Linked DNA regions of Schizosaccharomyces pombe. Changing the gene in region 2 together with the main gene of any one other region gives a genetic interaction. Each region holds a gene or a part of one and is shown on either strand. Other genes may lie near its edges.

Region 1 (5,969 bases), on a different chromosome or scaffold from region 2:
TTCTCTGGGTATTCTAGCATAAAGCGTATGAGCAAATTCTTTAACCGCAGGATCATCACCATCCATACCAAAACTGACGAGTTTCTGATACAGGTTATTAGAACTTGAAGAGCCCTTCGCTTCTGCAATTAGGTATTCTACCACGGAAGGTTCCGACATTCCCAGTAGCGAAATCGCTTTGTCAGACACATATTGCTCTAAAGACATTTTGTAGGCGCAACCAGAATAATATCACCAAAAAGCAATGAAGCTATTTTTGAATATAAACCCTTTCAAAATTTTCATAAAATCTTCATTTGGAAGATAGTTAATTTTCAGTTAAATTTGCTAAACGCGTTGCGATACATAAGTTTAAAACAGTTGTAAACTACACATTATGCATCGTTTAGTATATATTGGATTCTTTGAGTTACGGTAATTTACATAACGTGTTTTTCGTTATATTTGCTCGAAGATTGGTTTCGCTGACGTTGACCTAAAGTTGATTAACACTTATTCTTTAACATATTTTTGTTTTTTAATTATATATTAAATAATTATACAAAATAGGATTCACAGTTAGAAGATTGTTTATCAATAGGCATTTGCCTCGATTCGTTGTACGACACACGGCTTTGCCTACACTTGTTCGTTCTTCTCACAAAATGTCAGACGAAGCTTATGCAGCATTTCTGGAAACAGCTAACAAACCTGTTCCTTCTTATTCGGGCGACTCTTCCCAACTTCCTTCAAAATGGCTGAGAAGCTCAAAGAATATGTTGGAGGATCCCTCATTTAAAACTTTAGCTGGGAAAGTTAAGGATGAATACTTTGTCAGTGAATCAGATGAAAAATTTCACCCAATATGCATTGACAATATCCCTGACGAATTTGAAGAGATTGATGCAAAGACCTTTGATCCCCATCAGAAGTACAAAAAAGTAATTCATGCAATTGAGCAATCAAGTGGGTCAAAGGACATCCATTACTTTTCTTATGAAGAATCATCTACTAAAACTGTATATTATGTACTTGCCCATTTGAATGACAATAAGTGGTTTGGAGTTGCTACGGTAGGCATATATACTTAACTGGCTAATGTTTTTTTTTATAGCAGAAGACTAACAATCCGCATTCAATAAATGTTTCTTTAAGTCGTAAGTTTTATTATCATAGGTTAATGTAATCGAAAAAGAATAAGTTGTAACTTCTCAAATGTAAGTTCAGCACTTGAATTGAAACAACCAACTAAACCAACTCACAAAATCATGATTCTTACCGCCTTCATTTCATCTCATAGAATATTCATACATCCATACAAGATTTGCGATTTAGATATTACATGGTCTTCAAGTCAACCTTAAATATAAACAAATTAAGGCTTCGCTTCTTGGTTAGCTGATGCATCTTTCTCTGTTTTCTCTGTAGCATCACCTTTAGAAACGGGAGGCGCCGTTTGAGATGAAGACTTTGCAGTTGTATTAGGAGCAGCATTAAGAGACGAGGAAGTAGAGGCATTAGAATGAGAGAAGGTGTTAGAAGCGTTGTTATTCTTATGTACATTCGATCGCTTCCCGTTAGATGAATTGAAAGATCGTTGAGAATTGCTCCTTCTTGAATCACCATACATAGGATAATGCATATTCATCATGCCATTATTAGGAGCATACTGGCCATACATAGGAGGAACGCCATTCATTGTGTATGCCATCATGCCTCCCATTTGGGGAACAAAATAAGTTGCAGGAGCTGAAGCGCCCCTACCGTTACCAGAAGGAGGAAACTGTGGCATTGCGTAAGGCGGAATGAATTGGGGAGCCATGTAGCCTATCATTGGCGAACCTACTGTGCTAGAATTTCCAGAAGTCGGTGTTCCGTTAGGTGAAGGAGCTACAGAGGTATGCTGACTAGGGTTTCTCATGTAAGGAGTATAGCCCGGCACAGGATATCCCACTGGTATATATGGCATTGTAGGAGTAGGATACATTGGCATTGCAGAAGGCATAGCACTATTGGGTAAAACAATACTAGGAATCATGGGATTCGCAGCTGCTGCCTTCTTTGCAGAACCAGAATTTCCTTCAGGTCTTGAATTTGCAATGGTTTGCTGTAGGGAGTTGGGTCCCGTGTTCCAAGTCGGGGGACATGAAAAAGGCTTATCAATCTGCTCCGCTCCTTGGTGTTCTTCTCCAACGTTTTTAAAAACATTAAAGTTATCTAAGATGGGTTCCTTCTCCGATGAAACAGGACCGTTGAAGAAAACAGGAGAGGAAGAAGGTTTGTTTTCACCATTGGAAACCACTGAAGGTGATTGTGGTGTGGTTGAAGGAATCGAAGCTTCACTGTTGTTGGACTGCTGAGGCATCATCGGACGTGAAGCATTAACAGGTGCGGGTTTACTGGGGATAGTAAATTTACCAGGTGTAAACACAGGAGCAGCTACATTCGGCTTAAAAGATATAGCCTTAGCATTCAACTTCGTGCCCAGCTTTGTACCTGTGGTTTCCTTTCTCTGTGTAACAACAGAGGGCTTTTCGGGTTCAGTTGATGGTTTTTCCTCTTCTTTTGAAGGAGAAGATGTATTTCCATCAACCTTTTCAACCTTTTCGGAAGACACCTCCGTAGCAGATGTAACTGGTTTTTCAGCTTCCTCCTTTCGTGGTTCTTTCGAATCCGCCGGAGTTGCCTGGCTGGAAGCATCAGGAAGCTGTTTTTCATCAGCCACTTTAACTTCAGCAACAGATTTCGTAGAAGAAGGTTGTTTGGAATCCAGCGAACCTATTTTTAAAGATTGGCTAAACTGCATAAACTCTTTAATCTGTCCTTCCTTTTCACGTCTGGAGAGAGGACCAGCCTTACGGCGGGCGTTGAAAAACCTTTCAGCTGCTCGAGAATCTGGACCAGGTGCGCGAGGCAAAGCAAGGTGACGGTGAGACACAATTGCTGGATCATCAGGAGGAACTACTTTCTGCTGTGGATGTTGATGAGGGGCTTCATGGTTCTTAGGTTTTTGATCTTTGTTGTTCTTGTTGTACGCATTACTGCGGGTGTAGTTCCTAACAACATCGATAGAACGATGAACGCCAGAATAAAGGTCCTCTTCATCAAGTCCACTATCATCAACTTTAAGACCACGCTCTTCAGCAATATGAATGTTGTTGGTTACGGTACCTTCAATTTCTTTCGCTATACGATCAGCTTCTTGCTCTTTCTCTTTGTATTTTGGATGACTTCGATCGATACGAGAAGTATACAAATCTTCATCAAAATGAGATTTCACACCGAAAAGTTTTTCATTTGTAGCAAATTGATCCCATTCAACATTATCAGTAGACTCCTCTAAACCAGCTAGAGGAACACCTGCATCTTCCGGATCTGGCATCCAGCGACGGAGTTCTCGTTGACGAGTTTCAGTGCGCTTTTCTGCTGAAATAGCTACATCTGTTTTCCAAACTCTTTGCTGAGAATTATTTGATTTCGCAGAACCAGAAACACTCGAAACATTTTCCTCGGAAGAGGCCAACGAGGTAACGTTGGAAGATGAGTCGGTGGCTTTAGCAGCAACTCCCCCTCTGACTCTATTTTCAGGTACTACTTTAATAGATTCTACATTACGATGATCATTCGTAGCAGACTGAGCAATTTTGCTTCCTCTAGCAGCAACTGCTGACCATTTTTTGGCACCCTGAGTTTTATTAGGGCTGGCAGCGCGTTGCGAGGTCTGTTTCATGCTGACAGAACGGGTTGCCATCAGAATTACTTGAGTGTCCTCAGATACTCTTGCAATTTCTCGATTTGCAACCTCCCAGTGCCCAACTGAAATTTGAGTAATTCCGTGGAGGTTGGAGGTAGAAGCAACTAAAAGTGAAGTGTAACCTTTAGGTAACTGGGCGAATGGCGCATGACACCAGGCTTACACCATAGAGGAAATCAAATGAATGCTACCATTCCTAATAATTGAATTTTTTTAATTTTAAATTTCAAAGTCGTAGCATAATATATTTTCAGGTTCGTACCTTTTTTTTTCATATAGATTCAGTTACTTTGCAGAGCACTAACCACCCAAAGGCTGCAGGTGGCAAATGCGGTCATACTCTATTTTCTTCGCAGAATGTATTGATAAATTAGCAATTGTACTGTTGATAATTTACTGATTCAAAACGCTTTATTTGCTTTTTTTACGATAACAGATGCAATTTTTTGAATTAAGCTGTAGTTTATGTAGCAATGTATGGCTTTACAATTCATGTACTATGTCTGGATGACTTATTCTACAATACAATAAGACAAAGGTCAATACATAATACGGAAATTCCGTTAAAGTGAACAGGCAATTCTTAATTGAGTAAACTTTAGACATTAATTGATTCAAAAGCAACCTACAACCGCAAAAAAAACTTATTCTTTGTAGCTTGGAAAGTTTAGATTGGCCTTAATCAAGGGTTATCGGCTTACATGCTTTACAAAAAACACTTTTCATTTGCAAATGATTAGTATACTAAGAATAAAAGGCTTGAAAACTGGCACATATTTTACGTCAAAATAGACAACCAAGGACACTACGAGATTTTATAAGTTAAAAATCCCATTTACACCAATATTTGTTTAAACTTCTGAATTTGTTCTATCAGAATTCTATAGCCCCTTTAAACCACTCTCTTTCCAAGACACTGCAGTTTTTGTTTCATATTATAACGATACCTTAGTGACCATTAACTATTAACACTTCAGAAGTTAACATCGGGCTGCAAAAAGAAGATATCACTTGAACCGGCTTCGTGAGCAAATAACCCAATTAAACGTCGAAAGTTTTGGTTTCGTCCTTTCAAAGCTATTTTATTGCAAGCATTATAACCTTTCAGTATTTGAATCCTACAATTTAATTTTTCACGATGGGTATGAGCTTAAAAGGACAACTACTCACATTTTTTGGAATATTCATTACTGGTATGTTTATTGATACTATAAAACTGAAGTAATTCAGGTTTCAAAGTTCTTTAAGAGAATAAATTAATATATATATTTTTGTCTATAATTGCTTTTTTCACTAACTCACGCAGTCGGCCCTATATCATTTCTAGTGCTTAAAAACGATTTAAATAATAAAAAAAGAGAGTACTTTAAATTGTATAAGCAAGAACAGGCGAAACAGCTTGAAAATGCAAAATCTTCAAAAGAAAACAAATAATGAAATATTTACTATAATTTCGACGCCAATGTCAAAGCTGTCCACAGACAGCGATGCAAAGATATTAAATAAAATAACCTCCTAGTCCATGTAGTAATTCCGGCAATCCCAAAAATAACACTATATAATAAAAACGCTGAGTAATTAAAAATTAAAATAAAATAAAATAAAATAAAGCCTTAAACCGGAGCCATTATATAACAAAGCGAGACATATTAATCCAACAATATGTAGAATAAGTTATAAATAATAAACTAGTATTTCTCTCCTCCTGCGTTAACAAGCGACGCTCAAGGAAGCAAAACAAATGTAAGGAAACAACAGATAAATGATAAGGGGGGTTCCGTAACGACCTACTGAAAAAAAAAATCACTTTCCAGGCATTAAAAAAATAATCTTTCAATTCAGTGTCATAACGTTTCCAGGGCCTTTCATCTTTGCAGCCTTCAATAAAGATTGTCAGATAATGTAAAAACTTTACATGTTACGAGGAAACTAAATAAATTGATAATCTAAAATATATGTTTAAAAGAACTTAAGCCTATCAAACACTAAGCTTAAAAACTTGGAATGGAGAGTAAGGAATCCTCATTTTCATATTTGTGAAGTTATGCTCAGACGATAAGGCTGAAATATCGCGAAAAAATCTCCAAAAAATGGACTTAATCCTTTCAAAATAACATACGAAGAACAAAGTTGGTTATAATAGCTGCCAACAAAACAAAGCAGAGAATGGTAGGTCCCAATCGATCATCGTAAGGACCACTTCCGCGTCGTCGAATAGCAGATGCTCTCCAGTGGT
Region 2 (5,943 bases):
GGCAGGCCACTAAAACTGCACAAGTAATAGCTGAACAATGTGATGGCGTTGATTTTCTCGATTTAAATTGCGGTTGCCCTATAGATTTGGTATTTCGTCAAGGCGCCGGTTCTTCTCTTCTCGAGAATCCTGGCAGGTTACTTCGTAATCTCCAAGGTATGGATGCGGTATCTGGCCAAATTCCTGTCACCGTAAAACTTCGTATGGGAAACAAAGACGACCACCCAGTTGTCAAAAATTTAATTGGTAGAATTTTCAACGAAACAAACACTTCAGCTGCTACATTACATGGAAGATCTCGCCAACAGCGATATAGTAAAAACGCAAATTGGGATTATATTGGTGAAATTGCTTCTAAAGTAAAAAGTATGAATGAGAGAATAGATGAACTTCCTGAGGACTCCTTGCGTACCCAACCTCTTTCGCTGATTGGAAATGGAGACTGTTATTCATGGCAGGATTGGTATGATGGTGTTAACAAGGGTGTTGATACTGTGATGATTGCCCGAGGTGCACTCGTTAAGCCATGGATTTTTGAAGAAATTGAAGCTCGTCAGTTTATTGATAAGTCATCAACTCAACGACTCGAAATGTTGGAACAATACTGTAATAATGGTTTAGAGTATTGGGGTTCTGACTCTCAAGGAGTCAATACGACTAGGAGATTTTTCTTGGAGTTTATGAGCTTTTTCCATCGTTATACACCTATAGCTTTGTACGAAGTTCAAAGGCCCAGATTAAATGATAGACCGCCTCTATATACCGCGAGAGATGAGATGGAAACTCTCTTGGCCAGTAATAAAGTTACGGACTGGGTTAAATTGAGTGAGTTCTTCCTAGGTCCTACTCCTGAGCGATTCACCTTTACACCAAAGCACAAAAGCAATAGTGTGGAAGAGGCAGAGGGATAAACAACTTATGGTCTTAGTGTATCGAGCATTCACTTTCTTCATATGCATCATCAACTTTTCATACTTAATACTGGCTTATCATCTGGATTGAATTAAGTAGATTAATAAAATATCTGGTGACTTATATACGAGTGATCTGTGTTTGTCTCGTAAAATGCGCAAATGACTAGGCAAATTGGTAATGAATCTAACGTTATATAGTCAACTTACCCAATGGGAACTAACCAACGATCTTACAGTACTCTACAATTACTATCGAAACTACGTTGTGAAATAACTTAGCAAATATATGGTAAATAACACTGCCATACATATTTATTAACTTAAAAGGTATAATAATAACAGCAAGAGGATATTTGGTACAAAAATAACTTAATACACAATAAAAACCATTAAAAATCCAGAATCCCAAAATGACAAAACAAAAAATTAAAAAACAAAAAAAAAGCAAACAAAACAAACACAGCCATCATGTAGGTAATAAAGTAAGTGCAAAATTAACGGGAATGAATCAAAGGAGACAGGTTCACTTTACAGCTAATTCGATTGTTGTATGCAGATAAATGCAAGCCCGTAAACATCAAGCAAACTCCACACAACATGTCTACCCTTCTCAAACTTAAAAGCAAAGATAGACATAAAAGTATTCAAACTTGAAGATACGAAACTGAGATACAAATCTCATGTTCAAATATTACAAAGGCAAAAAAGAGCATATTTATGCGGTGCGCATAAAGTTCATTTGAACTTCCCGTTGAGCTTGGGCCATAGACACTTGTAGATGACTATGTGTACGATGATATTTCAAACCGTTTAAGTTTTTATATCTTTTACTACAAACTTCACAGCGATAAGGCTTGTTTTCCACAACAAACCCTTGATGAGGAATTGGAGCTGGTGTTGGAGTAGTAATGGGGGAACAGTGTCCATGAAGTTTGTGATACTTCAAACCATTTTGATTCTTATAAGCCTTATCACAATTAGGGACAGGGCATTTGTATGGCTTGTCTACAACCACCAAGTTAGAGCCTGGGTAATCAATAGTGAGCGGTGAATCGTGTGAGAATGCAGGAGTAGAACGCTGCTTTTTAGATGGCTTAGCTTCCAAATCACTAGAAGATTTCCTAACAAATGGGGATGAGATTGCTGAGTTTGTGGCTGCGGGTGAAACTACTTCAGGAGTAGGAGACATGCTAGACTCTGTGAATTGATCGGCGGATGCGACAGATGGAGCAAATGAAAAAACATCGTGATCGTAATTGAATGGGGGAAGATATGTAGAGTCAACCATGTCCTTTTGATTGAACGCAAAAACATTATTGGCAGCGGACTCACCAACGTCAATAGACATGCTCATGTCACTGAGAGGGGAGCTTGCATCCATTACCAATGATTCAGGCATCTTTTTCGGGGTACCAGTTGTCTCTGCTTGACTACTGGCCTCGTCACTGCTCATGTCGGAGCTGGCAGCGGCAGCAGCAGCAGCAGCAGCGGCAGGTACGACAACGGAAACGCGGTAAGGGCCAGGAGCACCACCGTTAGCAGGAAAGGCAAATGGTAAAACAGCAGAATTATCAGAAATTTCAGAAGTTCCAAGCTGATCAGCAAGATCATGCATACGGATGCGCTCACGCTGTTTGAGCGCTTGAATATGAGAATGATTAGATTGAGCAGCGTTGTTGCTATCCAAAGAATATTCTTGAGGAACAGCAGAATCAGTTGCCAGAACGGCGTGCTGCTCTTCATAATGGTGAATAAGTTGATGCAAATCTTCGAGAGTTTGACCACAGCAGCGGAAATCACGGCAAAATGCTTCTTCTAACCGGTTTAGATAAGAGGTAGAATCCTCTTCGGGAATCGTTTGTGACTCAACCACGTTAGAAAGAGATGGAATAGTATCACGAAGCCAAGCTTGTCCACTAAAGCTATTTCCCCAAGACTGTGGACTCATTCCAAAAGAGGTAGCATGAATGCTGTTAAAGGAATTTCCGTTGTAGTTGACATTGTGATGGGAAGGCTTATTGATAGGCAATGCGAGAGATGGCATATTGAAAAGTTTTTAAGGGAATTAATAAAATTAAAGAGATAAAAGAGAAAATTAAAAGATAAACCGATAAATAGAAACCAAATTAAAAATTATATACCAATGATGAAAAAATAGAATAAAAATAACAAAATAATTTAGTAAGTTATTTTTTGAGAAATCAGGGAATAATGCACTTAGAAAACTCGACTTAAGGAAGGCAAGTTCTTAGAGAGCGCTGAGAGGGGTAAAAAAAGGCAATTAAAAAAAGACTGAATGTAAAATCTAATGAAATTCGACGAACTATAAATTCGAAAAAAAAAGGAAAAAGTTTCTAAAAGAAGAATTTACCAAGCAAAAAAATGAAGGTAAACTATTTTTAAGCACTAAATTACCCAAGTGTAATTAGTGTATTGTAATGTTTTAAGTGGAAACCCCAAAGTGACTTATCTAATTTTTTCAGTCTAAACAAATTGGCGATTAACGGATGATAAATGTATAATATAAATAAGATGAAAAGAAAGGGAGTAAAAACCTTTTAAAGAATCCTTTTTAATCAACAAAGAAAGTCAAGTAATAACGAATCGAGTCGAGGAAACTGTTCGATTCGACTTTTTTTTAAAATAAAGCGAAATAGTAAATAATTTACGCTTTGATTCAATGAACAATCGAGATCAATCGAAAAGAGTGGTGATACTTCAAAAGAGTAATCTTTTTTTTGCAGGCAACTAGTGGACGCAATATATGTTGCAAGCGAATTTTTTTTATAAATATGTTTAATTTTTTTTAAGTTGAATATATGGTATTCAACAACAATTCTATGATTGTACTAACTCCCTTAAGTTAAGTAAGTATATTTGCTTCTGCTTCCTTCGTGTCGTCCTCACGTTGAAGTTAGTCAGAATAAGGCGTTAAGAAGGGTAGGACGGTGTTTAAGTAGTAATTGATAAGGTGATTTAGCAAGCCTTCTCGTTACGTATGTATAAAGGTAACAAGGATAAAAGGGTCAAGTAACAGTGACGCCGACTATGCGAGCGAATAACAGTGAAGCTTTCAGACTTAAACACCTAATGAGGGGCCCTTAAATATAAGAAAGCCAATCAGAGTACACAGAGTGGATCGAACTTGGATCAAAGTAATTAGGGGTAACAATGCAACTTCGTCAGTGCCGTATCGGAAGGTCGTTACTTCCAATAGATGGGGCCGAAGACAAGGGGCGAATAGTTTCTAGACAAAGGGTCGCAAATGAACGATGGCGGATGGCTTGGAGCTCAGTGCAGAATTAAGCGGTACGCAGCTTAGCGTTATAGTGTCCTAATATACGGTCAAGTGCACACGGGTACAGTAACACACACAATCTTTGTTTATGTGTTTCTCGGAAAATCGAAGCGGCTAAAAACGTTTAGCGATTCAAATGTTGGTTCGGTAATCAAACTTGAGGCAGGGTTCGCAGTCTGGTCACGTTGTGAAGCAGCTAATGGGGAATGGATGGAGGCAGACAATGAAGATCGTTGTCGGTTATACCAAATTTACCGGGAAAGCAAACTCAAGGAATTTGCGAGATACAATGTCCTTTCAAGGGTTAATTGGTAAAGTAAACGACTATGAAATGAAAGAAATATCGTCGTTTAATTGAAATGGAGGAAGGATATTTCTCTTCTTTGTGCTAGTAAAGAGAAGACGGATATTTTTGGAAGAGATGTAAAAAGACAAGCAAACAAGAAAATGAAAATGGACGTCTAGCGATTTTACAAGAAAAAATTAGACGGGAAAAGGGAAAAGAAAAACTAAAGCTTATAGGAAATGGAGCTAAAAAAATATCTAGATAGAATAGCTTGCGAATGAAGAAAAAAACAAACTATCGTACAAGATAAACCAAATATATAAACCTTACAACAACCCAAAAGAAAATGATTGAAAGTAAGGTGAAGATCAGTAACTAACAAAGGAACAGAATGGAATAACAAGTATATAACTAAGTAAATAAATAAATAAAGAATCGGTATTATCACAGATAAATGAAAAGATAATACACACAACGATGAAGAGAATATAAAAAAAAAATTGTTTCGTTAGAATCAAAGGAAGTTTTTAACAGAACGGAGTTTTTTATTTTTTTTCGTAACCAAAAAAGACTTTTAGAAAAATTGCAAGGATTTAGAGCAATACTGATGATTTCATACAAACGATTGGAGAATGGGATGTATTGTATTGAAACCAATGAACTGAATCGAATCGTTAAGAGGAAATTTTTTTTTAATAAACAATGCAGTTTGTGTTTGGCATTAGCGAAATCCACATCCATTATATAGAAATGGAAAGTCAACGTCAAATGTCCAATCTATCAATTCTTCGTTTTCTTCCAGAAACTCTTAAGCATCATTTTCATTATTTAACAATCCCATCATTTGTCCACATATCCACCACACTTAGGTCAGTAGTTGAAAAGATGAAATTCGCAGGCATCACACTCAATACCAAAGGCAATGAATTTACAACGTTTTAATTACATTTCTCAGCAATCTTCTAGGGTTCTGGCCATTGGATAGTTTATGATGCTTCTATATCAAACACACTCTACCATGATGTCAAGGGCGCTGGCGCTATGGCAAGCGAAGGGATATGAACAAGGACCAAGATAAAAGTGATTCTGACTTGGTTCATGAATGAAAAACTACAGACAATTTGATAGGATTAATAATTGAAGAAAACGATAAAGAAATTCATACATCCCAAGGAGTAATCTATCGTCTATGAGAAAAAAATGAAAAAATGACATTAGTAAACAAGTGTCAAGAGAGTATGGGTCAACAACATCAAAACGACATTGTCGCATACAATTCAAGTGAGACAGATTCAATTCTTCCTATACGCAACCAATTCCCGAAGGTATTCTTTAAAGAAAAAAAAAATAAGTAAAATTGAAATTGAAATTGAGCCAATTGCTATGCATCTATTATGACAAATAAGAATTGCAAGACTGTATCGCAAAACACCGTTAAAATAATC
Region 3 (5,512 bases), on a different chromosome or scaffold from region 2:
CTCTCATGAATGGCTTTTCTGCTAAAATCCTTAGGGACTGAAGGGTCATTATAAGTTTCCCCAACTTTCGGAATGGAATTAGCAATACTATCTTTTGGAAATGCGGCAACAGGTGCTTTCTTAGAATTTCGATTACGATGAGGTCGACAAGCATCAAAAGGACCATCGTGATGAAAGCTACCAGATCCATAAAGCCCTGTTACGTCCAAACGATCTATCTGATCTAATGGTTCTTTTGACGACCGACCAGGACGATGTGATCCCTCTCGTACAGACTTGTAGCGTCGAATGCTACCCCTGCTTTTCAAACTGGATTGGGTGGATGGTGAACTGTCGTTATGCGATGGAGAACGATGGCGACTAGAGCTGGCAACATGAGTACTACGAGCTCTAGCAATTTTCGAATATCTTGGAGGGGGGTCAAAAGTGCCCATCGAACTGTTAGATCGTTCGGCTAATGCCTCCGCAGATTTTTTAACGGGACTTGCTGAAGCAGAGGAAGCAGGAGATGGCTCCTTCTTCTTTTGAATACTATTAAACTGGTAAAATGTTAGTTTTTGAAACATATTAAAATTGAAAGCTGTGCTCGATTTTCGGCTCAACTTCATTGCAAACCGAAGAAACTCCTTGTCTAAATAAAATGTACGTTATGAGCGCTTTAAATTAGAAACTTAAAAACTCTTAATAGAACACTAATTTGGAAAGGTTTCAATAAATTTAACAAATCTTCACGTAACGAAGCAATGACCGAATTATATCTACTTCAGCCTCAAAAATTTACATACCAAGTCATCTGCCATAGATTCCATGACCGGATCAGCCACACGCTCTGTCTTGGGAGCTAAAAAAGGATTGTTACTGTTGTGCAGGGAAGACGTGTACACGCCATCCTCTTGAGGTGTCTGACTGCTTGTAGCAGTACTTAAAAAAGGGTTCTCTATTACCATCATCCCGTATTGCACCCAAACGATACCCTTGCGATTTCGTTTTGAGAAAGAGCACCTTGAAATACACAAGAGGTTTTTCCGAATCAAACTTCGAACTACAAGATATGGGTTCTTGGTGAGTTGGGATTCCAGTGGTAAAAATATCTACCCCTGCTTATAGGCAATTTACTGTACAGTGCTATTGCACATTGGGTTGCGTTATCTAGGTTTCTTGCTATAATAATTTTATTGTGCAAGACAGAAAAGTACATTTATTAAGAATGGGAAAACTGAATAAATCGAATATCCTAACCACTGACGATTAGACACATTAATTCGATTAATAACAGTGATGGTTATGTTAATGAAAATACGAGATGAGGAAACTTATTAATCAAAGCAATCATCTGGCTAAAAATTAAACGAACATCTGTGAATGTTAAAAATCTTAAGTAAACAACAAATCGGTTAACATAATTTTCAACGAAAAAAATGTTTTAAACCCATTTCTTTAATTCGTTAATTTAATCAGGATTCCATTTTATCATAAACAAGCAAATGAACCGACACAAAATGAAACGGAAGTTCCACAGAGGCACAAAAACTAAGTTTTACCAAAATTACTCTGCAGCCTTTTGACGTGTTCAAATAGAAATGGCATTTCCTACTTGCATTACAAAACAATTCATAAAATGTCATAAAGGAGCCCTTATTGGGCAGATGAAATGAGCCACAAAAAGTGTCAAAGATAGAAATAGTCACTAGAAAAAATAACGCATTGTAAAAAAAATCTAAGAGGTAATTATTCATAATGGAGACCCCTATCGCTTCTAAAATAAGATATAAAGAGCTGCAATAAGAGCGATACCAATTATGATAGAAAACCAAAACGCAATATTTCCCAGCAGTCTATGTCTTCGAACAAACTTCTGTCGCTGAATAATGATATACGGGATTTGAGTCATTTGAAAAAACAAACCGTAACCGCGGATTTTTAAAGTGATACATCCCATAACAAGTTCATGTAATACAGAGGAGACAAAGAACGTGAAAAAAGTCGATAAAGACTTTGACATGAAAGAGTTGAGGGGAACATAAACGTGGCGAAGGAGAAAGTAATGAACGGGCTTATTCCAGGTTCGGGCAAATTGATCCCAAGTCCAGCAATTCCACCAATCATCATAAAAGTTTCTATCGGCAAATCTAGTAATCTCTGCGCTGAAATTACAAACTCCTTCAAAAATGACCCAGAACACGAGGAGGAAGCTAAGCATAAATGGGAACATCAAAAATGCTACAGTATGGCCTAAACGTATAGCAAAATAAGTAGCAGATGCGTCTTCAGGAGCTTCAATAATGGTTCGAATGGCTTTAGCAAGTACAGGAACCATGAAATGATCAGAAATAATGACCAAAAGAAAGATACAACCAAACGTTCCCAAAGCGCATTCAATCAAATAATGAATTCGCACATGGGCGGTTCTTGGGTAGTATAATTGATAACATAAGCTGGGCATGAAAAGGAAATCCAAAGCATTTGGTATGGTTAAATTTTCCGGATAAGTATTACCATGATGGTTGAGACAATGTTCATAAAACTCAACTGAGGATCGTTCATCATCATCAAGATCGGTTTTTTTTGACTGAAGCTTATTTAACGAATGATAACAATAAGAATACCAACCGTTGACAACGTTATAGGAATGAAGCTTCATAAGGATTACCATAGAATGAAGAATAAACATAGCACGATGCGTCCAGGACCAGTTGCTAAGACAGCAGCGTAAAACACAATGGCTTAAAAAAAGTAAAATAAGAATGGAATAGAGGTAAACGCCTAAACCATACCACCGCAGATATCCCAAAGCAAAAATCTTTTGGAAAGGAAAAGCAAGTAGAAACATTGAAGACATAGCAAGGTCTGCCTTTGCCAGATCTAACAAATTAGACTGAAAGTATTTAAAAATAGTGCCAACAACTGGTCTTCCAGTCAATTCGAAATTTTCTAAAAAGCTCATGAAAATCATAATAGAGACAGCAACCCAAAATAACACAAAAAATCCAGTAAAGTCTACCGCATTACGTTGATAATTACGAGCAAAAATCGAGGGAGTAGGAGATAATTCCAGAGGTCGGTAAGCGGCCCTAGACCTTCGAAGGTCAATTTTTGAGGTTTCAGAAACACCTTTGAACGTCTGTTCCAAGTTGACATCCGATGGTTTGGATTTAGCGGGTGTTGCAGCAATCATCTTTAAATAACCAGCAATTAAAGCAACTAAGTGAATATATAACAAAAAAGATAAATATATAAAGAAAAAGATAAAACAAAAAAATAACGTAAAATCAGCAGCTACGTATCGCGAACAGTATCAAAGAAATTGAAAAAGAAGCGGATATGAACGTAGGAAGATTAAATTTATTTTTTGCTTCGCTTCTAAATAAAAAATTGAGGAATGAAAGCAAGAAACTTAGAAATGTAATCTATTGATGGAAGTTCCAACTTGGAATTTCAAGATGACAGAACTGGTATGACGAAAACTCCACAGTCGTGATTCCAAAAATAAAAATTCTATGCCAAATGTTCCACTATAGAATGGAAGTAAATAAAAAGCTCGAACTCCTAAGCAATTCACGTTCTATGCGATTTATGTAAGGAAAAGCCAAGTCTCCAGTTTCAAAATGAGCAAAGGAGTTGATAAGTTAGAATTGCGAGCTAAGACGATGAACCACCTGATCTCAGCAATATCTGCAATACTACACCACGTTATGTAAAATTTCGTTACGTATCACTATATATCACATGTCCTATTCATTTATCCGCTATATGTGATACGACATTGGCACTTGCTTATTGTAGCTTATTACCAAATGACTGACAGGTACAAACAAAAAAGAATGCTCAATCGAACCTTTTTCCCTTAGTTTACATATTATGAGCATTTCAATAATAATTTACAATAACACCTTAATACCCGATTTTCGCGTTACCTGCATATCGCAATATAGTAGTGCACAAATACAACTCACTGTGATTTAACGTGCCATTAAAACTGGTTACAAACTGCATAGTTAAGAAGCAAAGCCACATAGCGTGGTCAAGAACGAATAGAGAAACATAAATTCCAGATATTGCCCATCAATTAACAACTCCATATAGCAAATTCGATAGGATAATTCAAAAATTACACAGATAACCAAAGGAAGCTAGGTATTCTTTTAATTTGTGCAGTATTGGTGAATGCATCAGTTTTGAGCGTCGTTTAAAGCTGCATCCTATTTTGTTAAGTGAAATTGATTTGATTTTCATTGTTTTATATATTCTGTGTTTAGATTGCGTTTTTCTGTTTGCTTTCAATACATCTCATAGAAATGCAAGTTAATATTTACTGGAATCAATTATAGTAGGAACGTAAAATATCTCAGTGAATATTGGTACGGATGGAAAGATAACTTTAGTATTGCACATGGATTTTATTAAGAACCTCTAATAAGGGAATGTGTATTAAACGTAATATGATTACTGAAAAGCACAAAAACCATACCTAAAAAATATTCAACTCTTAGCCATAGTACACCTTCTTAAATGTACTTGCAATAAGTGGTAACATAATATTAAGTTAATCAATATAAATGGTATTTACATCTGCTTAATAAAAACTAGGAATTATAAAAAAAGACACTTCAGCTGACTTAACGTAACACAGCAGCAACAAAACAAATTAAAATTTATTTTATTTAAAGCATATTTTTTAGTATTCATTATTGATAGATTGACGAAAGAGTCGCAACGTTAAATTCGTTTTAAAGAAATTTACCGTGCAATACCCTACCGCATGTACAAGCAACAGCCAAGTAATGCAAACAACACATCCAAAGAACCTGCATCTTACTTGTTCGGGAGTGGAAAGAGGTTTCACCAATTCCCCAAAGACGCATCCAAAGATGTCAAGTTTAAAATCTTTTATAAAGGCTGTTCGGGCATCCAAAACGACTGCTGAGGAGCACACAACGATTCTCAAAGAGTCGGCTCAAATCAGAAAAAACATTCGTCAAGGTTCTAATGACATGCGTATGCGCAGAAAAAATGTTGCCAAGCTGCTATATTTATTTCTACTCGGTGAGCCGACACACTTTGGTCAGATTGAATGTTTAAAATTGTTGTCGAGTTCGCGATTCATGGATAAACGTTTGGGATACCTAGCAGCTATGCTTCTGTTAGACGAGAACCAGGAAGTTTTGACGTTATTGACAAATTCTCTTCAAAATGACTTGAAATCTAGAGACAAATTTATTGTGGGGTTGGCATTATCTGCGTTTGGTAATGTCGCTGGCCCTGAGCTTGCAAGGGATTTGTCAAACGACATAGCCGAACTTTGCTCTAACCATCATAATTATATATCAAAGAAGGCTGTTCTCTGTGCACTTAGAGTAATTCAAAAAGAACCGGATTTGGAAAGTTTATATATTGAGAAAACCGATGAATTGTTACATTCAAAAAGTCATGGTGTTTTAATGGCTGCTCTTGCTTTTGCCATCAGTGCTTGCAAAATAAATCCGTCGCTAATATCCCGATTTGAAAGTCAAGC
Region 4 (3,811 bases), 3.9 Mb from region 2:
GACCTCGGTAAAATGCTGCAAGGCCTTCGTATTTATAAATTTTTCGAAATGCGTCAAATGTGTTGTTGTATGCAGGTGAACATGCAGGGCCTGTGGGAGGATTCACTGGATGCTGTGATGGAGAAGATTTGACATTCGTCCTACGCTTGAGCCAAAAGCGAGGCATTCTCCATTTGACGGATGGTGCGTCCGTTTGAAGATTACGAAACTGGACGGTTGTAGCCGCAGCAATTTTATCTACAAAAGAAGAAGCCCTAGGATGTGATTGAGTGACTAACCTTGTTTTTACAACCCAAATGGGGTTAGTAAGAGTGACACTTGCAGCACCGGCGATAACCGCAGAAAAGATTTGACCACCCCAGTAACGATAAAATTGTTTGTCAGAACTATCTAAGGAAGCCTTGATGCCAACCTTGGACGAATCAATTTCGTGGAGAGAAGTGTATTTTTTATTTACCCCAAATAGCACTTTGCATTTTTCATAGACTACAAAATAAATGGACCAACTAGGAAGATAACCTAACATCATGGGTCCAACACCTCTATAAAGACCGGCGATGCCTTCATTGTGAAAAATTGTTCGCATCGAACTGAGGGTCCCACCCAAAACCATTGTATTTTTTCCACCACCAGTTGAATAAAAAGCCTTTTGTGCCTGCTTTCTTGTTTTTACTACATCTAAAGGTGCCACTACAAGAGAAGAGGCCAATCCAGCAGCTCCTCCTGCTATAGCATCCTTTAGAGAATCATCAACCATAAAGACGGATCAATTTCCTGATGATAATGCATGCATCTAAAGAAAACAGCAATTAAATAATAGACCTTGACAAATTCTTTACTTTTTTAGACGCTGATAAGAACGATCCAACGCCTTACGATGTTTCAAATTGGAAATGTATATATATTTTAGCGTTGATGTAAGAAGCTGTACAACAACATATATGTAAGTAAAGTGTTTGGCAGCCGTCAATAAGAAAGTCGAATCACTGTGCGGTAAACCACATTAACGACATGAATGTCTCCGAATTACTAATTGAGAGGACGTTCCATGCCCTTAAAAGAGAATTTCTTTTATATGTGCATATCAGATATGATTAAAGTCGTAATGCCCATTAACAATATATAATGGTGACATTGATGTTGCTAACAGCTTTACACACATATCTCAATTTTACTTCACAGATCAGTTGGCTTTATAAGCACCATTGGAACAGTGCTTTTGCTTTTGCTTTTGCTCGTATAAGTATTAAGAGGAAATTACTAATATAAAACCTTAGTTTTTCATTTTTTTCCAAGTCCAAACATATTGTTTTTATACATTAGCTTCTCTTGATTACCGCCAATTTCTAGTCGAAAAAATTATTTTTTTAAGAAATCCTACATTTGCTGAGAAGAAATGTTGAAAACGTAGTAACTACACAGTGTACCACTATATTGTTGGATAACTTTGTAAACTCCAACGTACTGTTTTGTCATACTCTTATTGTCAACTTTAGAAGCAAGATGTAGAATTAATATACTTGTAAATAACTGAAACACCATTTTTGTCGAGACTTAACTTCAAATATATTGACAGGTGATTGCCTCTATTGCCCTCATTGGAATAGTGCGTTGAACAATCAGACTGTAGCCAGGCTTATGGGACAATAATTCCTTCTTCAATTACTTATTGCTTTAGCAAAGATAAAGTGATTAAATTGGCTAACCGTGACAATAATGAGCTTTAAGTCTCAATTACTTATCCTTGCTCAGAAGCTGTCGAAAGGTGGTATTTCTTGTGAGTTGATTGAGTTTGATGAGTGTATTTTGAAGTTAGAATGGCATACTGAGCTACTTGATAAAAATGATTCCTTATTATACGAGCAGGAAGAAGATGATATTTTAAGCCTTATGAATCCAATGATCACTATGCACGCCTGGATTAGGGATTCTCCATCCTTCGAAGTCCCGCAGTTCTTCTTTCAACCTTATGCAAACGGATCAGATCCTCTTACCAAGATGGAACAGATTTTTGAGTTATTAGAAGGATCCAGTCAAAATTTAGCATATGACGCTCTTGCTATTGGGGACTGTCCAGGTACAGTAGGCATAGCATGGTATATCCATCCATGTCGTACGCGTGATTATTTCGAAATGCTTCAGATAGACAAAGAGGATCCCAAGTATCTCTCTCTTTGGTTGCTATATATTCATCAAGTCCTTTCTCCGCTAACTCAGCCTATAATAAAAGCAGTTGACGATGCCGAAAAATCCTAAAGATAACCTGTTATAAACGGGTATGCTTGCTAAGACTTTGTCTTATTAAATATTATTCCCCATGATTAAAACTAAATTAAAAGTCAATTTAATCCGTATTCTCTGGTTTTAGTTTATAATACCCTGTGAATCTATAGTAAAATTTTGACCTGTTATTTGACAGCAAAAACATTACGGATCTGAAGACCTCAATTGTAGAAAATAGCTTTTGTTCTTTAAATTTGTAGATAAAATACTATACTAATTAATAATCCTTCTGTTTTGACATATCATTCAACTGTTCCACTTAAACCTCTACTTGACCGCATTGATCTCTACACCAACAATTGTTTGTTAAGACAAACGAAACCGGGTTATATACTATTCCTCCTAACACACCTTAGCAACAAATATGGAACAAGTTCCTGTTCTAGCAGAAGATCAAAGGAATTTAAATGAATTTTCAGTGTTGCATTCTCGAAAGGCCATTCAAGAACTTGATATTAAGAATTTAAAAACGCAAATAGAGGATATTGTTGACGCTAAAAATGAATGTGAATTACTAGACGAGGATGATGGAGACGATATTCCAGCTTTAAAGGTTGGCGATGCCTTTTTCCAAGTTTCCCTTCCTGTACTCCTTGACCAGCTTGAGCAGTCAGAAGAAAGTTTGGAAAAGCAAGTCGACGTATTAAGATCTTCCATGGAAAAAGACGAAACCCGCATTCAAGAGTTGAAATCAATGCTGTACTCTAAATTTCACGATCAAATTAACCTAGACTAAGATTTGGAAAAAGCAGCAAATCTCAAAATTAGAAGCTTCATCTTATTTTTCTGAATTAGTTTCTTTAATTAAATAACATTTCATGCATTTAAATTTATTCACAATACCAAATCTGTATGCAATTAGCGCCTCCAATAAGTAAACTTCTTTGTTCACCCTAAGCCATTACAAGTATCCAACCACCACTATGGCACATGAGATTGAAATTGACTCGGAAGCTGACCTAGGTCGTACAACATTTGAGGCTGAAGACCTTTATAAGCAGAGAACTCCCATTACAAAGCCTCCGGCCCCTAGATTACAATCTCGTCGCGCATCCATGCAAGAGACGCCATGGACCATCAAAGATTCATTTAACGTGGAAACTAAAGATGTGGTTCAACGATGTATACATACTCTTATTCCCACTGTAAATTTCTTTGATGTTGTAGATGATCGTCCCGATTTATACGGTCCTTTTTGGATAACCACTACGGTTATACAGGCTCTATTCTTTTCCAACTCAATTACCGAATACGCTCGTTATGCCACAGGGCATGGTACAAGTGGCTATTCTATAAAAAAGTTGATCTCTGCAGCATCAATTATTTATGGTTACACTACCATTATCGCCGTTTTGTTATGGGGTATCCTAGTGTGGAACAAATGCAACCCTAAGTTACTCGACTGTCTGTGTTTATATGGATATGCTAACATTGTTTGGCTTCCCGTTTCTTTAGCAACTCCTCCGTTTGGATTGCTATCTACTTTGGCCTCCCATATTGTCAAATATGTACTTACAGGGATTGGTTT

What was found.
Region 1: mutations in sfp1 (region 2) and ath1 together harm fitness less than expected from each alone (positive genetic interaction), as found in Schizosaccharomyces pombe (one large-scale study listed by BioGRID).
Region 3: mutations in sfp1 (region 2) and are2 together harm fitness more than expected from each alone (negative genetic interaction), as found in Schizosaccharomyces pombe (one large-scale study listed by BioGRID).
Region 4: mutations in sfp1 (region 2) and pfd4 together harm fitness less than expected from each alone (positive genetic interaction), as found in Schizosaccharomyces pombe (one large-scale study listed by BioGRID).

Annotation. Positions count from the first base shown.
Region 1 is NC_003423.3:1,664,820-1,670,788, reverse strand, and holds ath1 (ataxin-2-like protein), read right to left. Parts: upstream 3,830-5,969; 5' UTR 3,731-3,829; coding exon 1,355-3,730; 3' UTR 1,071-1,354; downstream 1-1,070. Other genes in the region: ATP-dependent RNA helicase Cdc28, read right to left, coding at 1-207; SPOM_SPBC21B10.02 (uncharacterized protein), read left to right, coding at 645-1,070; SPOM_SPBC21B10.15 (uncharacterized protein), read left to right, coding at 4,872-4,926, 5,040-5,167; vacuolar transporter chaperone (VTC) complex, GTPase regulator subunit Nrf1, read right to left, coding at 5,839-5,969. UniProt on the Schizosaccharomyces pombe protein: Involved in post-transcriptional regulation of gene expression, probably by association with mkt1.
Region 2 is NC_003424.3:4,430,675-4,436,617, forward strand, and holds sfp1 (transcription factor Sfp1), read right to left. Parts: upstream 3,840-5,943; 5' UTR 2,959-3,839; coding exon 1,630-2,958; 3' UTR 1,195-1,629; downstream 1-1,194. Other genes in the region: tRNA dihydrouridine synthase Dus3, read left to right, coding at 1-911; SPOM_SPAC9E9.01 (uncharacterized protein), read left to right, coding at 4,187-4,223, 4,265-4,527; SPOM_SPAC9E9.02 (uncharacterized protein), read right to left, coding at 4,943-5,239.
Region 3 is NC_003421.2:2,397,199-2,402,710, forward strand, and holds are2 (acyl-coA-sterol acyltransferase Are2), read right to left. Parts: upstream 3,621-5,512; 5' UTR 3,176-3,620; coding exon 1,757-3,175; 3' UTR 1,141-1,756; downstream 1-1,140. Other genes in the region: protein Pal1, read right to left, coding at 1-539, 786-950; AP-1 adaptor complex gamma subunit Apl4, read left to right, coding at 4,869-5,512. UniProt on the Schizosaccharomyces pombe protein: Sterol O-acyltransferase that catalyzes the formation of stery esters.
Region 4 is NC_003424.3:503,337-507,147, forward strand, and holds pfd4 (prefoldin subunit 4), read left to right. Parts: upstream 1-2,572; 5' UTR 2,573-2,647; coding exon 2,648-3,019; downstream 3,020-3,811. Other genes in the region: yea6 (NAD+ transporter), read right to left, coding at 1-757; atg10 (autophagy C terminal domain family protein), read left to right, coding at 1,717-2,256; yip5 (Rab GTPase-binding protein), read left to right, coding at 3,207-3,811.